Ovis aries: one gene and its partners. The protein of the gene in region 2 interacts with the protein of the main gene of each other region in a pairwise test. Links are inferred from orthologs where the notes say so. Each region holds a gene or a part of one and is shown on either strand. Other genes may lie near its edges.

Region 1 (7,514 bases), on a different chromosome or scaffold from region 2:
ATGTTGGAGGGGGCTGGGCATCGCCCGTGTGCAGGGGTGGTGTGATGTTGGAGGGGGCTGGGCATCGCCCGTGTGCAGGGGTGGTGTGATGTTGGAGGGGGCTGGGCATCGCCCGTGCGGGTGTGTGTGTGGGGCTGGGCATCGCCCGTGTGCAGGGGTGGCGTGTGTGGGGGTGTGCAGTGTGCTGGGGGCCGGGGCCGGCGTGCTCACGCTGGCCCTGTGCTCAGGTCTTCGGGATGCTCTTCACCTGCTGCCTGTACAAGAGCCTGAAGCTGGAGCACTACTGACTGTGTCCGCGGGCGCCGGCCCTCCGTGTGCTGCAGCTTCGCGATGCGCTGACTACTGACACTCCCGAGAGCCCCAGTGCTGCGGTCCAGGCGGCGCCCCTGCCCCTCGCCTACCGGGGAGACTGTCCTGCTGCCTGGCCCCCCCACCGTGCCATCACCGTGCCCTCTGGGGACCCTCAAGCCCCAGAGGCAGCTTCAAGTGCCTTTAGCTACACACCAAAGTCCCAAGGCCTAAGGTCAGCCCCACCTATCTGCTGGGCTGGGGGTTAGCAACAAAGGCCCCCCTCCCACCACTGTCTCTGGGCTGAGATCGGGGCCTTGGGGTGCTCCCTGAGGCCTATGCCAGTTGGGTAGAAATGGGCTGGTGCAGGGGGGCCAGGCAGCAGCAGGTGAGGCGGCCCCAGGTGCCTCCCCCAGACCCCCCGGGTACCGGGCCTCCTCCTCAACCAGGGAAGAGCTGTCTGGGCCGGGCCTCGGCTGCCCCCCTGCTGACCGTCTGCAGCCTGTACTGACTAGGTCACCGCTCCCCCAGAGGCAGGACCCTGAGGGTTATAGTCGCTGCTGTGCTCCACGCCTGGGACTGCTCCTGCTACTTGATAGGTGCTCAATAAACGTCTGTGGGACGGACGGCTGAGCTGACGTCACTGACAAAGGCACTCTGGTCTCCAAGGGCTGTCCTGTCCGCAGAGTGAACAGACCCACCCCCAGGGCCGCAACAGAAGCAGACATGGGGCGGTGTGAGCTGAGAGCCGACGGGGCTCCAGGGGACGGAGGCTGGGCCAGCTGCAGACAGGCCTCGCAGAAGCTCAGCTGTTCCCTGGATGCAGGGCTGGTGATGCGGCTGAGACCCCAGGGAGCGGGTGACTGGACCGCTGCGGTTTCCAAAGGCCTGTCTGGCCACTGCACAGGGACCAGGCATGGGAGGGGGGTCTTGGGAGCGAGTCAGGTGGGGTCTGGCAGGACGTCTGCCGACAGGGCAGGGTGGGGCCAGAGAAGGGTGCTGGGCCTGGTCTCTGCAGAGACCACCCATCAGACGCCTGGGCAGGTGGCCTCAGGAAGGCCGCCTCCCTCCTGCCCTCTAAGCTGCTGGAGGCACCAGGGCCTGCCTGAGCCCCGCCAAAGCAACAGCTTCTGGTTTGAAGCCTCAGCCTAAGCTGGACCGCGATGAGCTGCCCCCCACCCCCGCCCCCGCCAGACAGCTCTCTAGTTGGTTTTCAGGGCAACGCATTTAACGCCTGGGCACTGAGAGCCCATTCAGAACAGATGCCCAGGAGAGCTGCCTCAGGGCACCTCCCACCTGCTGTGGGGTCTCAGGGGTGGAGTGGAGCTGCCTGCCTGCTGTGGGTGGAGCCTGGAAGCTTCTGGCGGCAGCAACCTCAGGATGCGCAGCTGTGACCACAGGGAGCACTCCACTCAGAGCGCAGAAAGTCTGGAGCATTAGATACCGGGGGAGGAAGTGGGGACCTCTGTTCTCGGCTGAAGGGCACCCAGAACAGCGCTGTGGGACGCCGGTGCCCCCACCCCAAGCACTCGTGACATCTGTGTCTTCTGTGGGGCCAAGCGCCCACAGAGGAAGGGAGCCCCGTGCTGAGCACTCCCGTATGGAAGGCCCACCCTCCTCCTGGGCCGTGCGGGCCTCGGGCACCAGGTAGAACCCCAGGAACCGGCGGGGCAGCCCACAAACCCAGACCAACTGTTAGGACTTCCTGGCAGTCCTCAGAAACATTTACTAGACAGTTCTTTCCAGGGAGGAAGACCCACGCCAACAGAGCCGTGGGCGGGCGTGGCTTCCGGCGCCCCACACCCCAGGGGAACAAGCCATGGGTGAGACGCCCCCTGCGGCATCGCGGGCTCACTTCTCCAGGGGAGCGTAGTTGAGCAGCTTCTCGATCAGGTCCACGTGGGCAAGCAGCATGCGGCGGCAGCAGTAGCGCTTCAGGCCCAGCGCGTCCAGGGCGTCCCTGCAGGTGGGGAGAGATCTGGCTGCAGCCTGCTCCTCCCGGCAGACAGAGGGCCTCGCCCGGGGGGAGCAGCCCCCCTCACCTCCCAGAGACACGGCCCCAGTCACCCTCAAAGCCTCCTGTGTGTGGGCACCAGCGTGGCACCCATAAAAGGGGCGGCCGCTTGGGCAGCCCTGGCCTGGGGCATCTCGGGGAGGAGTCTGGGGCAGGCTGCCAGCATTCACTCGCACTGTGGTCATTCCAGCAGCCTCCTCGAAGCCTGGTGCAGATACTACGGCCGTCCGTTGCTTCCCTATCCACCCAACACAGCTACACGGAGAACCTCACCTGCTACCACACTCCAGGTCCCAGAGGTTCACACTTTGATAAGGATGGGGCTGTCCACACAAGGACCAAAGTCAGACTCTTGTCTAGGGTAAACTCAGACAAGTAAGGCGGTAACTGCAGTGCCAAGGGGCAAACACGGAAAAGGGACCCCACAAAAGCCTGATGATGACGGCTATGTGATCAGAAGCTTGTCCTATGTACTAAAAAAGCCCGTGAGTCTGCAAGACACGGTTTGTTGTTCAGCCGCTCGGTCGTGTCCGTGACGCCATGGACTGCAGCTCGCTGAGCTCATGTTCTCCTCTATCTCCCAGAGTTTGCTTGAACTCCTGTCCATTGAGCTGCTGATGCTACCTAACCGCGTCCTCCTCTGCCGCTCCTTTCTCCTTTCGCCTTCCATCTTGCCCAGCATCAGTGTCTTTGAGGACACGGGGTGGGCCTAATAGCAGGGAGAACTTAGGGAGCTGACGGACAGAGGTGGCCAGGGGCCTATCTGCGGTGGAGGCGTGGAGCCAGAATACTCGAGTCCCCAGACACCAGCGCTTGACAACTAGCTCCCCTCGTCTGCCTGAACTGGGGGGTGGGAGACGCTTTCCTGAGAGCAGGTCTGGAGAACAGGGCTGGCAAAGGCTCCGGGAATAAAAGCCTTGCCGGCGTCACCTGGGATCTGATGAACGTCCCTTGCTCCTGACCTGGAGACCAAGACCCCTGACTGCCGCCTCAAGACCCCAACCCCTCAAGCCTGGATCCTCGACAGCCGCCCGAGACGCCGACGCCGCAGGCTAGGCCCCCTTGACCCTGCCCCGGGCCCCGCAGGCCGGGGCCCCCGTGTCCTCGCTCCGAGCCCCGCAGGCTGGGAAACCCTCCCCTTAGGCCGGGCGCCCCTGTCCTCGCCCCGGGCCCCGCAGGCCGGGCCCCCGTCCCGCCGCCCCGGGCCCCGCAGGCTGGGAAACCCTCCCCTTAGGCCGGGCGCCCCTGTCCTCGCCCCGGGCCGCGCAGGCTGGGAAACCCTCCCCGCCCCGGGCCCCGCAGGCCGGCGGCCGGGAGCGCGCCCCTCACCCCTCGGTGTACTCGGCCTGCAGCAGGCCCAGGTAGGCCTCCCACTTGTTGCCGACGATCTTGCCACACGTGAAGCAGCGAACGGGGATGATCATGGCGGCGGCGCGGGAGCTAGAAGCTTCGCGGCCCGGCGGCCCGACGCCCGGATCCCCCGGCGCTTCCGCCCCGGCGTGCCCATGGCGCGCCCATGGCGCGGGGGTGCCGGCCCGGCCCGCCCCGTGCACCTCCCCGCGGCCCCGGCGCCGCCGGCATCCGCCTCCCGCCGCGACGGCGGCTCCTCCGGCGGGCGCGGGCCCGGGGGCCGGGGCCCGGGGGCCGGGGCCGGGGGCGGGGCCCGGCGGGAGCCCCCCGCCCGCGCCTTGGTACGTCCCGGCCTACGGCGTCCGCGCGGGGCCGCAAGGGCTCGGCGGCGGCGTTCGCGTTCCTCGTGCCCGGCCGACCGACTCCGCGCGGCGGGCGCGAGGCAGGTACAGCGCCCCTGCCGGGCCGCGGGCGGAGTGCGGCCGGGCCCGCGCGAACTGGGGCCCCGAGCGCAGAGCGCGAGCCGCGTTTCAGCAACAAGTTGCGAGCCGGGTCTGGGGCGCGGAGAGCGGCCGGAGGGGCCGGGCAGGGGGCGGCCTCTCCGCCTGGGGCCGCTGCCCGCGGGCACTCGGGGGTCTCTGCGCAGAGTCCGAGGGACCCTCGAGGTCGCCGCCTGGCCGGGTCGCCTGCACAGTAACGGTCCCGGCCCGGTAGCTGCCCGTATCCCTGCAGGCGGGCGGCGCGGGGCGACCCAGCCGGTGGGGGCTCCGGCCGTCGCCGCGGTCAGCTTGGCCCCCCCTCCTGCCTTCTTCCCGGGGGAGGCGCTGGCGGCCCAGGCTCCAGTCCGCGCTCGGCAGGGGCGGGCGCCAGTGACCCGGGAGCGCCGGCTCTGAGGGTCGGGAGGGCACTCGGGGTGTCTTTTGAGCTGAGACTTAAAGAGGGAGCCGGACAGACACCCGTCCGTGCGGGACAGAAGCTGTGGGAGCTGGAGGCGGTGGGGGTTTAAAGGGAGCGGGGGGGGGGCGGGGGCGGGGGCTGTGTCTCGGGAAGTGGCGAGAGGTGAGCCCCCTGATCCTGTGACTGGCGGCTGGGAGAGGGCTGTGTGCACTGAGAAGCAAGGAAGGCTCCCTGGAGGAGGCGAGCTTTGGGCTGAGGAGGGTGGGCTAGGCACCTAGGCAGGGTCTCCTCATATTTGCTGGCCTGGGGCGTCAGGGTCTCTGGTTGGGGTGGGGGGTGGGGGTGGGCCCACCATGTTGGGTCCCAGGCTTTAGCTCAGAGTCCACCTGGGGTGGGTGGTGGACTCTGACTGTAAGTCAAGGGGCTGGGAGTGGAGGTCCCAGGGAGGCTGGCCAGCACTTCTGCGTCTGGAGTTTGGCTCTGGCCACCCTCCCCAGCGGGGTTCGCCGTCCCCCACCCTGCCACGTGCGGAGCCACGAGCAGAAGCCACTTCCCTGCCCTGCCTGCCCCCCCTTCCCAAGCTGACTGGACGCACATCCTGTCCCCGGCTGGGATGGGGCCTTGAGTCACAGTGGCCTGGGGTGGACCCAGGCTCAGCTGTAGAGGCAGCTGCGTCTGCAGAGGTGAGGGGGATAGGCGGGAGGCTCTTCTAGAGCGGGGGTGGGTGCGTGCAGGCTTCCTGGGGGAGGGCCCCGTGGTCCACCGCACCTCGTTCTGGCGCAGTGGCTGTTTACTCCCAGAGACTGGGGGGCGGCGGGAGAGCCAAGTGGACATTCCTGGAATTCCGAGAACTGCGTGTGGATTGAGGCGGGGGGGACTCCTCCCTGCAGCTCCCTGGTTTCCCAGGAGGGGATTGCTGAGCAGCGTGGTGGCACAGGCCACCAGCACACGTGTGCTCAGAGGCCCCTTGGGCACTTGGCCTCCGTGCCCACCCCACCCTGGCTCAGGCCTGGCCAGGCTGGACCTGAGGACCCTGGGGGGCCTCACGTCAGCCTTCTCCCCCGCTGGGCCTTCTCCCTCCCTGTGGGTGCTGAGGGGGCAGGCTGGGCATAGTCCAGCTGTCCTCAGGGTGGGCAGGGGCAGAGAGCATCCCAGGGGCCTGGTGCACTCATGGGGGCGCCGGGGTGGCACAGGCCCGTGGTGGGGGCCCTGGGGATGAGCGCAGATGTGGCCCAGACCTCGGGCTTGGCCTGGAGATGGGCAGGGAGAGTGAGGCGCTGGGTTTCCGAGGAGGGGGTTCCTGCCCCCAGGGGCGGGGGCACAGGGCGGGAGGGTGGTGCTCACGTGGTCTGGAACCCGTGCGCCCTACTTCCTGCCAGAGGAGGGTCACTTCAGGGCAGGCGGGGGACAAGGGGAAATCCACGATCAAAGCTTCAGCCGCTGAGACCCTGTGCCCCGGGTGTTGTCCTGGAAACGCCTCCTGAGAGACGGAGCTGCCCAGGAGGCAGCTGACCCTGCGCCCCGTCTTGGACCACAGCGTCTGCCTCCCCTTCTGTGGGTGGGGGGGGGGGCGGAGGCCACGCAGGTGGAGGGGCAGGATCCCAGCGCAGCCCCGAGCGCCCAAGCTCTGGCCGCTCTGGGTAAGCTGTGCTCACACGTGGGGGGCGGTGTGGTGAGCAGGGGGCGTGGATGCCTCGTCAGGGTTTGACGGAGTCGCCCACCTGCTGCACCCTCGGTGACCCTCTGGGCCCTGGGGTCCCTGGCGGTGTTTGCCGGCCAGCTGTGCAACCTCGTGACCCTGTGGATGGGCATGGTCCTTGAGGATGGCCCGCTCGGCCGTGCGTGGGGCTCCCAGAGGGCACTGGTGTGTAGGGGGCAGGCTGGAGTGTCAGTGCCCAGGTGGGGAAGGGAGCTGCCAGGCCCCAGGGTGGCGGGAGGGTCCTGAGGGGAGCCCCTGTCCTCGGGGTTGTCCTCACTGGGCCTGGGGAAGCGCTGGAGGCCTCTGGGTGGCCTCTTCCCGGGGGCACCTCTCCTGGAGGCAGTGTCTTCCAGGCCAGCGGGAGGAGGGCCTGTGGGCCCGGGTGCTTGTGCGCCCCTCCCCCGGGGTCGGGGGCTGAAGCAGCAGCAGGAAGGCCGGCTCCGCAGGCCTGTTTGTGTTGGCGGGGCCTCCTGGCTCCTCGCAGTCGCCTCAGAGCTGGCAACCTGGGGGCCCGGGCTGGGCGGCCGGCTCTGCACCCTGAGGTGCGGGCACGCTCACTGGCTCTGCTGGGGCCCCGCTCACTGGCTCTGCTGGGGCCCGTCTGCCGCAGGCCTCCGAGGCCGCCGGGCCAGCACTGTCAGTGTTTGGGGAGGTCCTTCTCTGAGCTCGGCCTCGGTCTGGCCAGGTAGGTGCCCACGCTCCCCCGAGCTTCCTCCTGCCCCTGCCCTGGGCCCCAGAGGGTCCCAGAGGCCCAGCCTGGGGCTGGCAGGGCTGGGCGAGGGCTTCTTGCTCTGCCCATCCCAACTGCCTGCCGCGCGTGTTATTCTGGGGACCCAGGCCTCTGCAGTCCTGCACACAGAGGAGGCCCAGAGCAGGCCAGGGGGCAGGAGGCTTCCTGGAGGAGGCGGCCGGGCCAGGTGAGGCGGTGGGACAGCCGGTTCCTGTCTGGCCCTATAGCCACCCCCATCCCCCGACTGAGGCTTGAGTATGGGCTGCCCGGGATGGGGTGGGGCCCTGGGTTCACGGAGGGGCATGGCGGTCACCCGTGGAGGGTCCCGGGGCTGCACTGGGTGGGGGTGTAGGGGGGTCGGCGGCTGGGAGGGGTGCGGGTGGAGCTGCCCCTCAGGGCCTGGCTGGGAGGCCCATCTGCTGACCCAGGTCTGGGGGGGTGCGGCTGCGGAGGCGGCCTCAGGGCTGGGGGCTGAGTGTGTGGGTTTCGGCGTCTGCAGCGTCGCTGTGGGCTCCGGGAAGGGGGCTCATCAGAGA
Region 2 (6,395 bases):
TTTAAATGCATATTAAATAGATGTTGGTCATTAGAGTTATTATTTTGGAAAGCTGTTTGCTACTTTGTTTCCAGTATTTTTAGGACTTTTCTGAAGTTACTTTCCAAACCATTTCAAGAGTGAACATCAGTGTTACTGTTTTGCTTTGATGTCAAATGCTGTTATCCACCTAGATCATTAGCTTTATTCATTAAGCTTGTCTTTAAAAGTCAAAGCTATCTTCAAAGAATGTAGTCTCCCCAACCCCCGACCCTGTCTAATATCTATCCATGGGACTTTAATTTATGGAGGTGACGAGCGATAACACAGCAGAGTCAGTGCTACTGAAGAGAGGAATTTATTAGTTACATTTCCCAAGAGAAAGGAGATGCCACGCCAGGCAGGCCTCCAGGCGCCAGCGTCTGGCTGTGGCCGGGAGGCAGGGCAGGGGTGAGCAGCTTCCGTCCGGGCCTCCTCGGGGTTGCAGGGCCGGCTGGTTTGGGTGACTAGAGGCTGTGGGCTCTGGGGCTGTTCCTAGCCGTGTGGAGCCTGCACCAGCGATAATTTAGACCAGAGAAATGGGGCTTGCTGTGGGAGTCATGTTTCAGATACATGTCGACTCATTTAAAAAAATTTTGTTGAAATGAAATTCACAGAAAACTCACCATCTTAACTATTTCTAAGTGGTTTTAGTACATTCATCCTATTTCACATGGTGATTTTTGACTTGGACTTTTATTTTGAAAGGAAGGAAGAATATTAAGCCATAACCCGGAGACCCAGCAAGTAGACATAGAAATTCTTTCATCCTTACCTGGTGAGTCTTCTAGAAAGATATTCGAAAGCGTAGGCTCTTCACGTCCGCACGGGCTTGTGAACAGCTTCTAGCGCAGGCGCCGCCGGCCTCCTTGGCCGCCGTGGCTACGGGGCCCTCTGCTGCCTCTGTCCGCGCGCAGGGCCTGGGGTGGGCCGCGCTGCGCTTCCGCTAGTGCGGTTGCGTGTCTGCTGAGAGCTGTTGGCGTTGTTCCCCAAACTGTTAGGCACGTTGTTCTTATTACTGTAACCATGTAATTTCATAAAATTACATCAATTAATGAAAATTGATGGCAAAAAAAGTTACGTCTATGAGACCTAAATTGAATGATAACTCAGGATCGTTGCTGAAAATTTTGCTTTTGAATTATATGTGATGGGTTAGCTATAAGAGTTTGGGAGGAATTTGATAAAAATGTGAGAAGATTCTGCACTTAAACTGTGTTGCTAGTTTTATATTCTTGCATCCACTTGAAAGACAAAAATCAAAAAACCTCGGGACTTTTCCTGGTGGTCCAGTGGTTAAGACTCCATGCTCCCAGTGCAGAGGGTGTGGGTTTGATCCCTGGTGGGAAAACTAAGATCCTCCATGCTGCGTGGTATAACCAGAAAATAAAACCAAACAAAACCCCTCAAAACTCAAAACCTGGAAATTGCATATATGCATCAGGGATAAAGTTTATAAAAGAAAGACAGCTCCAGTCAGTGACTCATAAGACCTACTAGCTCTGTTTGAAAAGGCTGGCAAATGAACATACTTCTCTGTGTTAAATGAAAATGAAGAGTCTGAAACAGATAAGTGTAGCCACACTCTCATGCATTATTTTAAATGGTTCCCTGCTTTATGCCTGAATCACCCCACCCATTTTTGGTTCTGAAACCCTGGAATAACAGGGCTTTTATTGTGTATGGCTTAACTTGGGTGGTGTTTGCAGGGGTCCCTGCCCAGAGATTAGAGGCGATCCCTTTTTCTTTAGCAGACTAAGGAATTAATTTTCTGTTCATGTTTAAATAAGATAGTAAAAGAGTTAAGACTGTAGTATGCAGGAATCATGCAAAAAGATTTTTCAGGGGATTCCCTGGTGGTCCAGTGGTTAGGATCTGACGCTTTCTCTGCTGGGGCTCAGGTTCAATCCCTGGTTGGGGAACTAAGATCCTGCAAGGTGTGAGGGCACCCAGAAAAAACATAAACAAAAAACCTTACACTGGTTTTCCAGCTCTCTTCTAATTAGATTTCATTTGAAGAAATCCTCCTTAGGAATGTCGGACAGAGGTTTGTCTGTGGTCAAATTCTGTGGACACAGCCTGGTCACTTCTTGTCAGGTGATTGACAGTGATGATATCCAATTAGAACTTTTCTTTTTGGGAGCATCAAGAAGCACCTGATCTGTCTTGTAGCAGAAATACAGGTAGTCCTCACTTTGCACAGTTCTAATATACATGAATTCAAGTTACCATGGTTTTGTTCAATAGAACCAGTCTCCAGTGTCCTTGGTATATTAACTCTCCTTTTTAAAAGTATTTGTTTCTTTCTTTGACTGCACTAGGTCTGAGTTGTAGATCTCCCGTTGTAGCGTGTGGGTTCTAGTTCCCTGACCAGGGCTCACACCTGGGCCCCCTGCATTGCGAGCGTGGAGTCTTAGCCACTGGACCACCAGGGAGGCCCCTGTTAGCTGTGAGTGAGTGTGTGAAGTACTGCCAGCCCTCCAGCCCACACAGACCACTGCACAGTAGCAGGTGCCCATTATGGCCAGGGACTAGTCACCCTGCTTCTTTCAGAGTGTTTTGGCGCTGGCCGCGGTGCATCTGTTACTCAGTTCCCACACCGTAGCACAGGGTGTGGTTGTGGTGCCTCCTTGTCTCAGTCATAAACCCACGTGTCGCTTTACGAAAGTGGATAATTGAATAGGGACTTGGCCAACAGCAGTGAAGGAGTGACAAAGAAACAGAAAGGGATAGCCCTAAAAGTCACATCCACACTGAATTTAAGTGAGCTCGCAGAAGAAGGAGCTCACTGTGGAAATGCTGACTTTGCGCTTCCTGTGCACTTCTTGACATCAGCGAGGAGAGCGGTCATGATGAAAGGAATAAGGATGTCCTAGGAATTACATCAGCAAAAAACTGAGCAAAACTGAGAGAAAGAAACTCTCAGATCTATTTCATAACGTTAAAACCTCAAAGGATATCTTGCTGAAAGTGGACTCAAACGGAAAGGAGTGTGGCGGCTGTGCCAGGCGTGGGCAAGGTCCTCGCTCTGCACTGTGGCTGGATGGCAAGGGGGCGAGCGCTGTCCAAACCACCTGGGTGTGTGTGGACACAGAACAGTCACGGTTCTGTCACTGATTCTCATTGCTTCTGTTTCAAGTTGGGTCAGTGTCCTACATAAATGGCAGTTGTACTGTGTTTTCATTTCCCTATACAGTAAAGGTTTGAATGTTTTGACAAAACATTTTAACCGTGAGACAGTCATCAGTTTCCCCATTGATTAAGATTGTTCTGCATGATTTCAGCTTGTGTGGTCATTTCTAGAGCCCCACCCTACCATGTAAAATGAGGGCTGCTGTGTTACCAGGGAAGCATGTACAATGTCTGCGGACGCAGCAAGATATAAGAATTTTGCAGAATTCACGTTGCCTTCTCTTATTGAAACAAACCGGTTCTGGGGGTGTTGGGGATTATCTTGTGGTTACACACTCTCTTCTGGGATTGCTAGTGCATCAGCTCACTTCTTTTCTGGGAAGGGCGGATTGTCACTGGGGAGTGCCTGAGAAGCCCCTGTCTGTCGGCACAGGCTTCAGAGCATCTCCTGTCACTGAGCACTCTATGCTTTCCTGTGTGCACCAGCCTCCACATCAACGGGCAGTTTGTTTGTGGTGGTTTTTCTAATGATACGAATTCCCTGTAGAGGAACTTTTTCACTACTGGGAAATGACTTATTGTCTCTCCTTCCTACCGTCTGGTTTCAGCCATGAAAGAACCTGGGAAATTTGATTTGGTTTATCACAACGAAAATGGAGCTGAGGTAGTGGAGTACGCTGTGACGCAGGAAAAGAGGGTAGGCGTGCTTCTCTTCTGGGATTGCGTGGTCGTCCATTCGCTTGACTGGCTGCTGGTGGTCTGGAGGGTGACACGCTGCGGCTTCCTGCACTGCTTGCATAAAATCAGAGAGGATCCCGGCCTTGCGGGGCGGCGGGGGGGGGGGGATCTCCAGAAGTCTCCACTGTGTCTCCTTACAGTCACTACTACCTCCCAAGAGTTACCGTGATTCTGACGTAGAACAGTGCAGATACTTTTGAAGAATGACACAGTGATGAATCTGTCTTCTGATTTTAAGTCCTTAAATTGCCATTTTAGGAAGTATATGGTTTAGAGCTTTGTTGGCAGCCAGACTTCCAGAGATGCTGGAATGGCTGCCTCGTTAGAGTATGGTAGCATTGAAGTGAATAGAATTTATATTTAAGAAACCGCTTCTTAAGGTGTTTATATTTGAAATGTTATGATATTATTCTGAAGTTTTACTATTGCACAGTCACGTTTTATCTGGAATGTAAACTTGTGGAAACCCTAACCAGACTGTATGTTTTGCTTTGTCTTCAGGATAGATGACACTCAGGGATTTACTCCAAAAGCACATTTTTAGGATCTGTGGTAGGCTCTGCAGATTTGGCCCCGTATCCTGTACTTCTTTATTTGCAATATATGCAGTCCCACTTTTTTGTTGAAATGTATTCTTGGAAACTACACTGGAAAATTAAATGTTGGAGGCTTTCCTCTTGGAGGGAGGCCTTATTAAACTGAGGCCTGAAGTAGGGCCTGTAATTACGTTTTTGGACACTAGATGGCTCTCATTATTCATCCACATGGCCTTCGTTAGCTTTGCTTTCTCTTGGTAAAATGAAATAGCTCCTCTGTTTTTAGGCAGCACAGGAAAAGAACCATAGAGCTGCATGAAAGGGCATGGGCAATCTAGTGATAACCCTCTGGGCCGTATCTGCCTCCCAAGAAGTCTGCAGACTGCTTGTCCATAGAGACTGGTTGGGCAAATCCTTCTGACCCCTTGGTAACCAGCTGGTACCACCCAGCCCCAGCCCATGCTCTAAATCAAAGGAAGATGAAATATATTTAATATAAAATTTAGCTGTGTTCTAGGTAAACAAGGCCTTCTACCCTAGTTGAACTGAATTTACTGGGACTCAAATTACCTCCAGTCCTCAAGCATTCTTCACAAATGGAAATTGAAGTTTTTAACTGACTAAAATTCATATGACCTCAAAATGACGTCTCTAAACTGAATATTTTCTGTTTTTCCTCAGATAACCGTTTTTTGGAGAGAGTTGATTGATCCAAGATTGATTATCGAATCTCCGAGTAACACATAAAGTGTGGAGCTTCCCCGAGTTTGACCTCTCCACCTCGTGGTTTATAAATGTCTTATTTGTGAAAGTGACTATAACCTGAACGGTTTTTTTTTTAAAGAAGATTTGTGAGCTGTATGCATTTTCGGTTATCTTCCATTTGCTGCATAGGAAAAAGTCTACCTCACCATTTAAAAGCACATGGGTGTTGCTTTTGTAGATCTTTTTTTCTCCCCAGGCTTAATCTTAGTAACAGAATTTACAACATGACATTCCTTCAGGCATCGTTTATAAAACAATACGTACGGTTTCTTCTCTTTTTTATTTTTTTCAACCATCAAGTAGCTTATCGTCAGTAGGAGTTTGTAATACCAAATACAGAAAGTGCTGTATATCTTGTCTCAGTAAGTTTTATTAAGTAACGTTTTAAAACATGAAAGCATGTTACTTGACTTAATTTTTTTAAATTTAAGTTGTTCCATTCAACGTGGAGCATCTTATACATCTCAAGTGTTTATACTTGTGATCGTCAGCAGTTAATCAGTAGCTGGGTTTGTTACAGGCAATGAGTTACGGAATCCTTTCACACTTTTCTCAACTTTAAGGATTCTCAGGGCCTGTGGAGAGCAGTGAAAATAAGTCTGTGTGCTTGGGAAAGAACTAGGGCTCTACTTGAGGGGGAGGATTCACTGTGAGCTCAGGCCAGGGTGACCCGCCCAGCCACTCGATCCCGGGCGCCTGGCTAAGTGTGCTGTGCTGGAGTGAGGGTCTTGAACAGAAATTTCCTTTTCTGTTATTATTCAACACAAAGCTAAAAAAGGCTGAAATATATACTGTGAAAATTGTTTTAACAAAACATCAGACCCCTCCTTTGGCTGTGCAGATTTTTAAATAAAATCATATTGGACTAAGCTTCTGTGCTGAGTCATCTTGTTCGAGTTTTGTGGACCGCCACCTTGTTTTATAGTGATGCAGAAGATTGAAATTCTCTGTGACAAGAAGGTCTGCCTTGACTAAAGACTGTGATGTCGCAAGGCTTAGTTCAGTGGAGTTCATTAGCTCTGGGAGCAACTGGATCAAAGGAAATGTCTGCCTCTAAGTTGCATGACATTGATGTGCATCAGAATTGGTATTTACTGATTTTTAGACAAGAAACATGACTCCAGAAAGAGAGAGATTAACGTGAACGATGCCATCCTGGTATTGGGGCCCTGGTGTGAGCATGCTTTCTTTCCAGGTTTGGAAAAC
Region 3 (6,655 bases), on a different chromosome or scaffold from region 2:
TTCCCACCTTCCCTCCCTTCCCTCCCTTTTCTTTTCTTCCTTCTCCTTTCCCTCTTTCTTTCTTTCTAATGTCTTACAGCTTTTTGTTGAAAGATGTACATGTATTAAGTAACTAGTAGTGAAGTCTAGATGTCATTAGTGTGAGAATTTATGTTAATCTGGCTATAAGTTTGTGTTCAATGTTAGCTGGTACTGTAGTTACCAGAGACTTCAAATTCCTCCAGTGTTCTTGTTATTATCTCTCCTTTTATTTTTGAACTCCCATCTCACTCTTCTGCAGACAGAGTCTACATCTTTCATCTGTAATTCACTGTACTCTGGATCCCTGGTATAGTGGCCAGATGTAGGGGAAAGAAAGAATTTTATATTTCTGTGACTAAATCTTGGTTTAGGCTTGTGGTTCTAGTCTGTGACTGTTACAAATATTTTTCCAATGATATAGATGTTGTTCACTTTTAAAATGTAATGGGAAGGATAGAGAAAGGCACAGTGGGAGAAATGTTCTTTCCCAGCTGGGGAAGGATTTGGTAAAGTCTTTTCCCCTGGAGTTTAGGTCTTCCTGATGGAAAGTGCTCTGAATGCATTTTGCAGTGATTTCTCTTCTATCCCCAGCCCTGCCAGAGCCATAAGGTATTCTCGAATCTTCACAGTGAGAACTTGGTGAGCTGCATGGAACAAGTACTGAACCCCTTAGACTGTGATCTCCAGAATTTCCTCTTATACTAGTCCACACTATCAACAGTTCATCAAAATTACTATTTAAGTGCTCTTATCTGTTGCTTCATCAGCTTCTGCTCCAGGTAAGCAGATCTTCTGTCTCTCTGAATGTGCCTGCATGTCCAGACTGTGGAGCAACAATTAACCCTACAAATTCAGTTTTCTGTTGTTCAACAAAAGTCACTGGTTTTAGTTTATAAAATGTTTTCTTGTCTTAAGGACAGGTTTGATAGCTTCACAACTTTTTACATGTTAGAGCTCTATCTGGAAGTGTTGTTTTTATTACCATTATTCAGAAATTACAATAATGTTGGCATATTGATTTGAGAAAGCTGTTAACATATTTCTCAGTGGTCAAATTGTTTTTTGCATTTAGTGGGACCATTTATTCTTTTATAAGCATTATTTTGAAACTGATTTATGTTTAGAATGACTACCCAGACTGAAAAGAAAAAAAAGTTATAATTTTGTTTGCTGCTCTAGAAGTCAGCTACCTAGTAATCCTATCTCTTAAGCACTGTAGCTGGAAACCAGGAAATAAGAAAAATAGCCCCTGAACAGTTAATCTAAATATCACAAAATGCAGGTGCTAAACTTCTTAAAGTATAATTTTGGTATAAGTAAAACTATATATAATGCCTATAAAAGTTATGAAGCATCATCTTGTAATCATCAACTATGAATCTACCACCTGTCATAAGAGCTAAAGTAATATTAGTAAATGTCACTCAGTCGTGTCCAACTCTTTGCAACCCTGTAGACTGTAGCCTACCAGGTTCCTCCATCCATGGGATTTTCCAGGCAAGAATACTGGAGTTGGTTGCCATTTCCTTCTCCAGGATGTCTTCCCAACCCAGGGATTGAACCCAGGTCTCCCACTTTGTAGGCAGACGCTTTACTCTCTGAGCCGCCGGGAAAGTCATAAGAGCTAGACCATTGCTAATACTTTCAAAGCTATCACCCATCTGTAGGTCTGCTAATCTCCTGGAGATAATTACTCTCTTAATTTTTAACCATATAATACACCCATTCTTGGAAAATTTTTTCTTGCATATATATTCCTAAATAACATAATCTTGAGCATTGTTTGATTTTTAGTTTTAGTAAAATAAGGTAGCATTCTGTATGCAGTCTTCTATATGCAGTCTTCTGGATTTGCTTTTTTTTTTTTTAAATGCACGAATTGCAACTTTATTTTTTACACTTAAAGGGTGACGAGAAACCATTACTAATCCTATCAAAGAAAATCTAACACAACAGCTCAATCAAAAAGTATGGTAAGCATATTTACTCATTAAATACTATTCTTTCTAGAACACAACATGGAAATATCCAGCATGCATGTTTAATCTCAGTACAACAGATTCAAAACCAAGTATACAAGTTACATGCGTCAAGGCTAGATTACAAGTTATCATAGTCATCGTCGTCGTCATCATCGTCATCATGTTTCCTTTTCAATGTGTTTGATGTTTCATTGGCAGTATTTTGTGATGAGACCATGTTAGTGGTAATAAGAATATTTTTGGACCCAATTAATGACGGATTAATTAGAACATTCTGAACAGCTGATGTTGCAGGAATTGATGCTTTTACAGCTGGGGACTGTGAAGTGGGCATCTGTACTGTGAACCTTTGCCCTGTGAGGGACACTGGAGTCCCTACTTTAGTTGAAACAGACATGGCTTGTGGGGTTGGTGTGCCAAGCGTGGGAGTACTTGGTCTGCTAGTAACTGAACCAACGCTTAACCGTGGAACCGTTATTCTTCCTGCAGAAGTAGATGCCTTTTTTTGTAAAGACTTCAGTCTATAATTTGGAGCAGTCAAGCAATACCTATCAGGTGGCAATCTAGGACCTGAGTATGGCTTGATCAATGGCAAAGGGGTTTGATTTCTTTGCCTTGCAATATCTAATAAAAAATCTCTTGGTGGAGGAGAGGTGAAAGACTGGTCAGCACGACACTGGATTGCCAACCGCACATCATCTGCGTCAACAGTAGCTTTCTTAGCATGACTTGAATAAATTTTGGCATCATCTAGAATTGTGGTTACATATCGGAAGGCAAACTCCAACATCTGATTTATAACTCTTGGTTCATATTCTGTAATCCCCATATCCTTCAGGATTTGTGCCATCATCTGTGCATCTTTCGGCATGCTCTTGGGAGAAGCCATCTTGCCAGACTCCATGATATCCGGTGATCAAACTTCTCGAGCTAAATCACCCACATTAACGTATTTCAGTCCTGATCTTGATGCAAGTTCTTTGCCTAATGTAGTTTTTTCAACCCCTGGTGTACCGGTGAGCAGGATGTTCGGAAGCAACATCGCTTTTTTTTTTTTAAATTAGGTTTTTATACACATTCTCTATACCCAGTGGAGGTAATAATGGAGCTAATAATAATTCATTATGCAAAATGGAGGTAATAATACTTCAATATTTCACTGTATTTTTATATATCAGTTAAACATGTTAATATAGGAAATAACTTAGGAAACAGTTCCTAGCATATCGATCATGCTTTTTATCTTTGATAAAGAAAATATTCTTGTATTCATCCGTTTTTACTGCAATATCAGCTCAGTTCAGTCATTCAGTCGTGTCTGACTTTTTGCGACCCCATGGACTTCAGTATGCCAGGATTCCCTGTCCATCACCAACTCCAGGAGCCTACTCAAACTCATGTCCATTGTGTCAGTGATGCCATCCAGCCATCTCATCCTCTGTCATCCTCTTCTCCTCCCACCTTCAATCTTTCTCAGCATCAGGATCTTTTCCAATGAGTCGGCTCTTTGCATCAGGTGGCCAAAGCATTGGAGTTTCAGCATCAGCATCAGTCTATCCAGTGAATATTCCTTTAGGATTGACAGGTGAGATATCCTTGCAGTCCAAGGAACTGCAATATACTGCAATATATATCATATTTTATATACAGTTGTTTCCTCTTATCCACAGTTTTTATTTCCAGAGTTTCACTTACCTGTGGTCAACCACAGTCTGAAAATATCAAACGAGAATTCCAGAAACAAACAATTCACATTTAAATTCTTTGCCATTCCAAGGAATGTGATGAAATCTTTTGCTGTCCTGCTTCATCCCTCTGAGGATCCTTAGTGATTGACATTGTCTGCTCTAGATATCCAGCCATCCACATCATCATGTCTCAGTGATCTGGGATCACATAAAGTGGATATGCCTCCTTTTGAGGTGTCATCAGAAGGTCAATAGTAACCAAATACTACATTGTTGTTATTGTTATTCAGTCGCTAAGTCATGTCTGACTCTTTGCAACCACGTAGACTGCAGGACAACAGGGTTCCCTGTACTTCACTATCTCCCAGAGCTTGTTCAACTCATCTCCATTGAGTAAGTGATGCTATCCAACCATTTCATCCTCTGTCACCTTTTTCTCCTCCGGCCTTCAATCTTTCTCAGCATTAGAGTCTTCTCCAAAGAGTTGGCTCTTCACATCAGGTAGGCAGATTATTGAAGCTTCAGCATCAGTTCAGCTCAGTTCATTCAGTCGCTAAGTCATGTCCAACCCTTTGAGACCCCAAGAATCGCAGCATGCCAGGCCTCCCTGTCCATCACCAAATTCCGGAGTTCACTCAGACTCATGTCCATCGAGTCAGTGATGCCATCCAGCCATCTCATCCTCTGTCGTCCCCTTCTCCTCCTGCCCCCAATCCCTCCCAGAATCAAAGTCTTTTCCAATGAATCAGCTCTTCGCATCAGCTGGCCAAAGGACTGGAGTTTAAGCTTTAGCATCATTCCTTCCAAAGAAATCCCAGGGCTGATCTCCTTCAGAATGGACTGGTTGGATCTCCTTGCAGTCCAAGGGACTCTCAAGAGTCTTCTCCAAAACCACAGTTCAAATGCAACAATTCTTCAGCGCTCAGCCTTCTTCACAGTCCAACTCTCACATCCATACATGACTACTGGAAAAACCATAGCCTTGATGGACCTTAGTCGGCAAAGTAATATATCTGCTTTTGAATATGCTATCTAGGTTGGTCATAACTTTTCTTCCAAGGAGTAAGTGTCTTTTAATTTCATGGCTGCAGTCACCATCTGCAGTAATTTTGAAGCCCCCCAAAATAAAGTCTGACACTGTTTCCACTGTTTCCCATCTATTTCCCATGAAGTGATGGGACCAGATGCCATGATCTTCATTTTCTGAATGTTGAGCTTTAAGCCAACTTTTTCACTCTCCTCTTTCTCTTTCATCAAGAGGCTTTTAGCTCCTCTTCACTTTCTGCCATAAGGGTGGTGTCATTGATATTTCTCCTGGCATTCTTGATTCCAGCTTGTGTTTCTTCCAGTCCAGTGTTTCTCATGATGTACTCTGCAAATAAGTTAAATAAGCAGGGTGACAATACACAGCCTTGATATACTCCTTTTCCTATTTGGAACCAGTCTGTTGTTCCATGTCCAGTTCTAACTGTTGCTTCCTGACCTGCATGCAGATTTCTCAAAAGGCAGCTCAGGTGGTCTGGTATTCCCATCTCTTTCAGAATTTTCAACACTTTATTGTGATCCACACAGTGAAAGGTTTTGGCATAGTCAATAAAGCAGAAATAGATGTTTTTCTGGAAGTCTGTTGCTTTTTCCATGATCCAGCGGATGTTGGCAATTTGATCTCTGGTTCCTCTGCCTTTTCTAAAACCAGCTTGAACATCAGGAAGTCCACAGTTCACGTATTGCTGAAGCCTGGCTTGGAGAATTTTGAGCATTTCTTTACTAGCGTGTGAGATGAGTGCAATCTTGTGGTAGTTTGAGCATTCTTTGGCATTGCCTTTCCTTTGCAATTGGAATGAAAACTGACCTTTTCCAGTCCTGTGGCCACTGCTGAGTTTTCCAAATTTGCTGGCATATTGAGTGTAGCACTTTCCCAGCATCGTCTTTCAGGATTTGAACTAGCTCAACTGGAATTCGATCACCTCCACTAGCTTTGTTCATAGTGATGCTTTCTAAGGCCCACTTGACTTCACATTCCAGGATGTCTGGCTCTAGATGAGTGATCACACCATCGTGATTATCTGGGTCGTGAAGATCTTTTTTGTGCAGTTCTTCAGTGTATTCTTGCCACCTCTTCTTAATATCTTCTGCTTCTGTTAGGTCCAGACCATTTCTGTCCTTTATCGAGCCCATCTTTGCATGAAATGTTCCCTTGGTATCTCTAGTTTTCTTGAAGAGATCTCTAGTCTTTCCCATTATGTTGTTTTCCTCTATTTCTTTGCATTGATCACTGAAGAAGGCTTTCTTATCTCTTCTTGCTATTCTTTGGAACTCTGCATTCATATGCTTATATCTTTCCTTTTCTCCTTTGCTTTTCGCCTCTCTCCTTTTCACAGCTATTTGTAAGGCCTCCTCAGAGAGCCATTTTGCTTTTTGACATTTCTTTTCCATGGGGATGGTCCTGATCCAATCTCCTGTACAATGTCACAAACCTCCATCCATAGTTCATCAGGCACTCTGTCTATCAGATCTAGTCCCTAGAATCTATTTCTCACTTCCACTGTATAATCATAAGGGATTTGATTTAGGTCATAGCTGAATGGTCTAGCGGTTTTCCCTACTTTCTTCAATTTAAGTCTGAATTTGGCAATAAGGGGTTCATGATCTGAGCCACAGTCAGCTCCTGGTTTTTTTTGTTGACTGTATAGAGCTTCACCATCTTTGGGTGCAAAGAATATAATCAGTCTGATTTTGGTGTTGACCATCTGATGATGTCCATGTGTAGTCTTCTCTTGTGTTGTTGAAGAGGATGTTTGCTATGACTAGTGCGTTTTCTTGGCAAAACTCTATTAGCCTTTCCCCTGCTTCATTCCACATTCCAAGGCCAAATTTGCCTGTTACTCCAGGGGTTTCTTGACTTCCTACTTTTGCATTCCAGTCCCCTATAATGAAAAGGACATCTTTTTTGGGTGTTAGTTC

What was found. The genes of interacting proteins can lie anywhere in the genome.
Region 1: the proteins of COIL (region 2) and POLR2L interact in binary tests that used the Homo sapiens proteins (3 or more experiments, as listed by UniProt). The two-hybrid records come from large-scale screens. The link is inferred for Ovis aries from reciprocal best matches to the Homo sapiens genes COIL and POLR2L.
Region 3: the proteins of COIL (region 2) and transcription initiation factor TFIID subunit 9-like interact in a two-hybrid assay, tested with the Homo sapiens proteins (2 studies listed by BioGRID and IntAct). The link is inferred for Ovis aries from reciprocal best matches to the Homo sapiens genes COIL and TAF9.

Annotation. Positions count from the first base shown.
Region 1 is NC_056074.1:46,912,564-46,920,077, reverse strand, and holds POLR2L (DNA-directed RNA polymerases I, II, and III subunit RPABC5), read right to left. Parts: upstream 3,761-7,514; 5' UTR 3,727-3,760; coding exon 3,632-3,726; intron 2,249-3,631; coding exon 2,140-2,248; 3' UTR 1,991-2,139; downstream 1-1,990. Other genes in the region: CD151 antigen, read left to right, coding at 228-287. UniProt on the Homo sapiens protein: DNA-dependent RNA polymerase catalyzes the transcription of DNA into RNA using the four ribonucleoside triphosphates as substrates.
Region 2 is NC_056064.1:7,466,832-7,473,226, reverse strand, and holds the end of COIL (coilin), read left to right. Parts: intron 1-726; coding exon 727-796; intron 797-3,758; coding exon 3,759-4,057; 3' UTR 4,058-5,105; coding exon of another isoform or gene 5,106-5,171; 3' UTR 5,172-6,058; downstream 6,059-6,395. UniProt on the Homo sapiens protein: Component of nuclear coiled bodies, also known as Cajal bodies or CBs, which are involved in the modification and assembly of nucleoplasmic snRNPs.
Region 3 is NC_056065.1:58,196,528-58,203,182, reverse strand, and holds transcription initiation factor TFIID subunit 9-like, read right to left. Parts: upstream 3,046-6,655; 5' UTR 2,908-3,045; coding exon 2,122-2,907; 3' UTR 1,991-2,121; downstream 1-1,990. UniProt on the Homo sapiens protein: The TFIID basal transcription factor complex plays a major role in the initiation of RNA polymerase II (Pol II)-dependent transcription.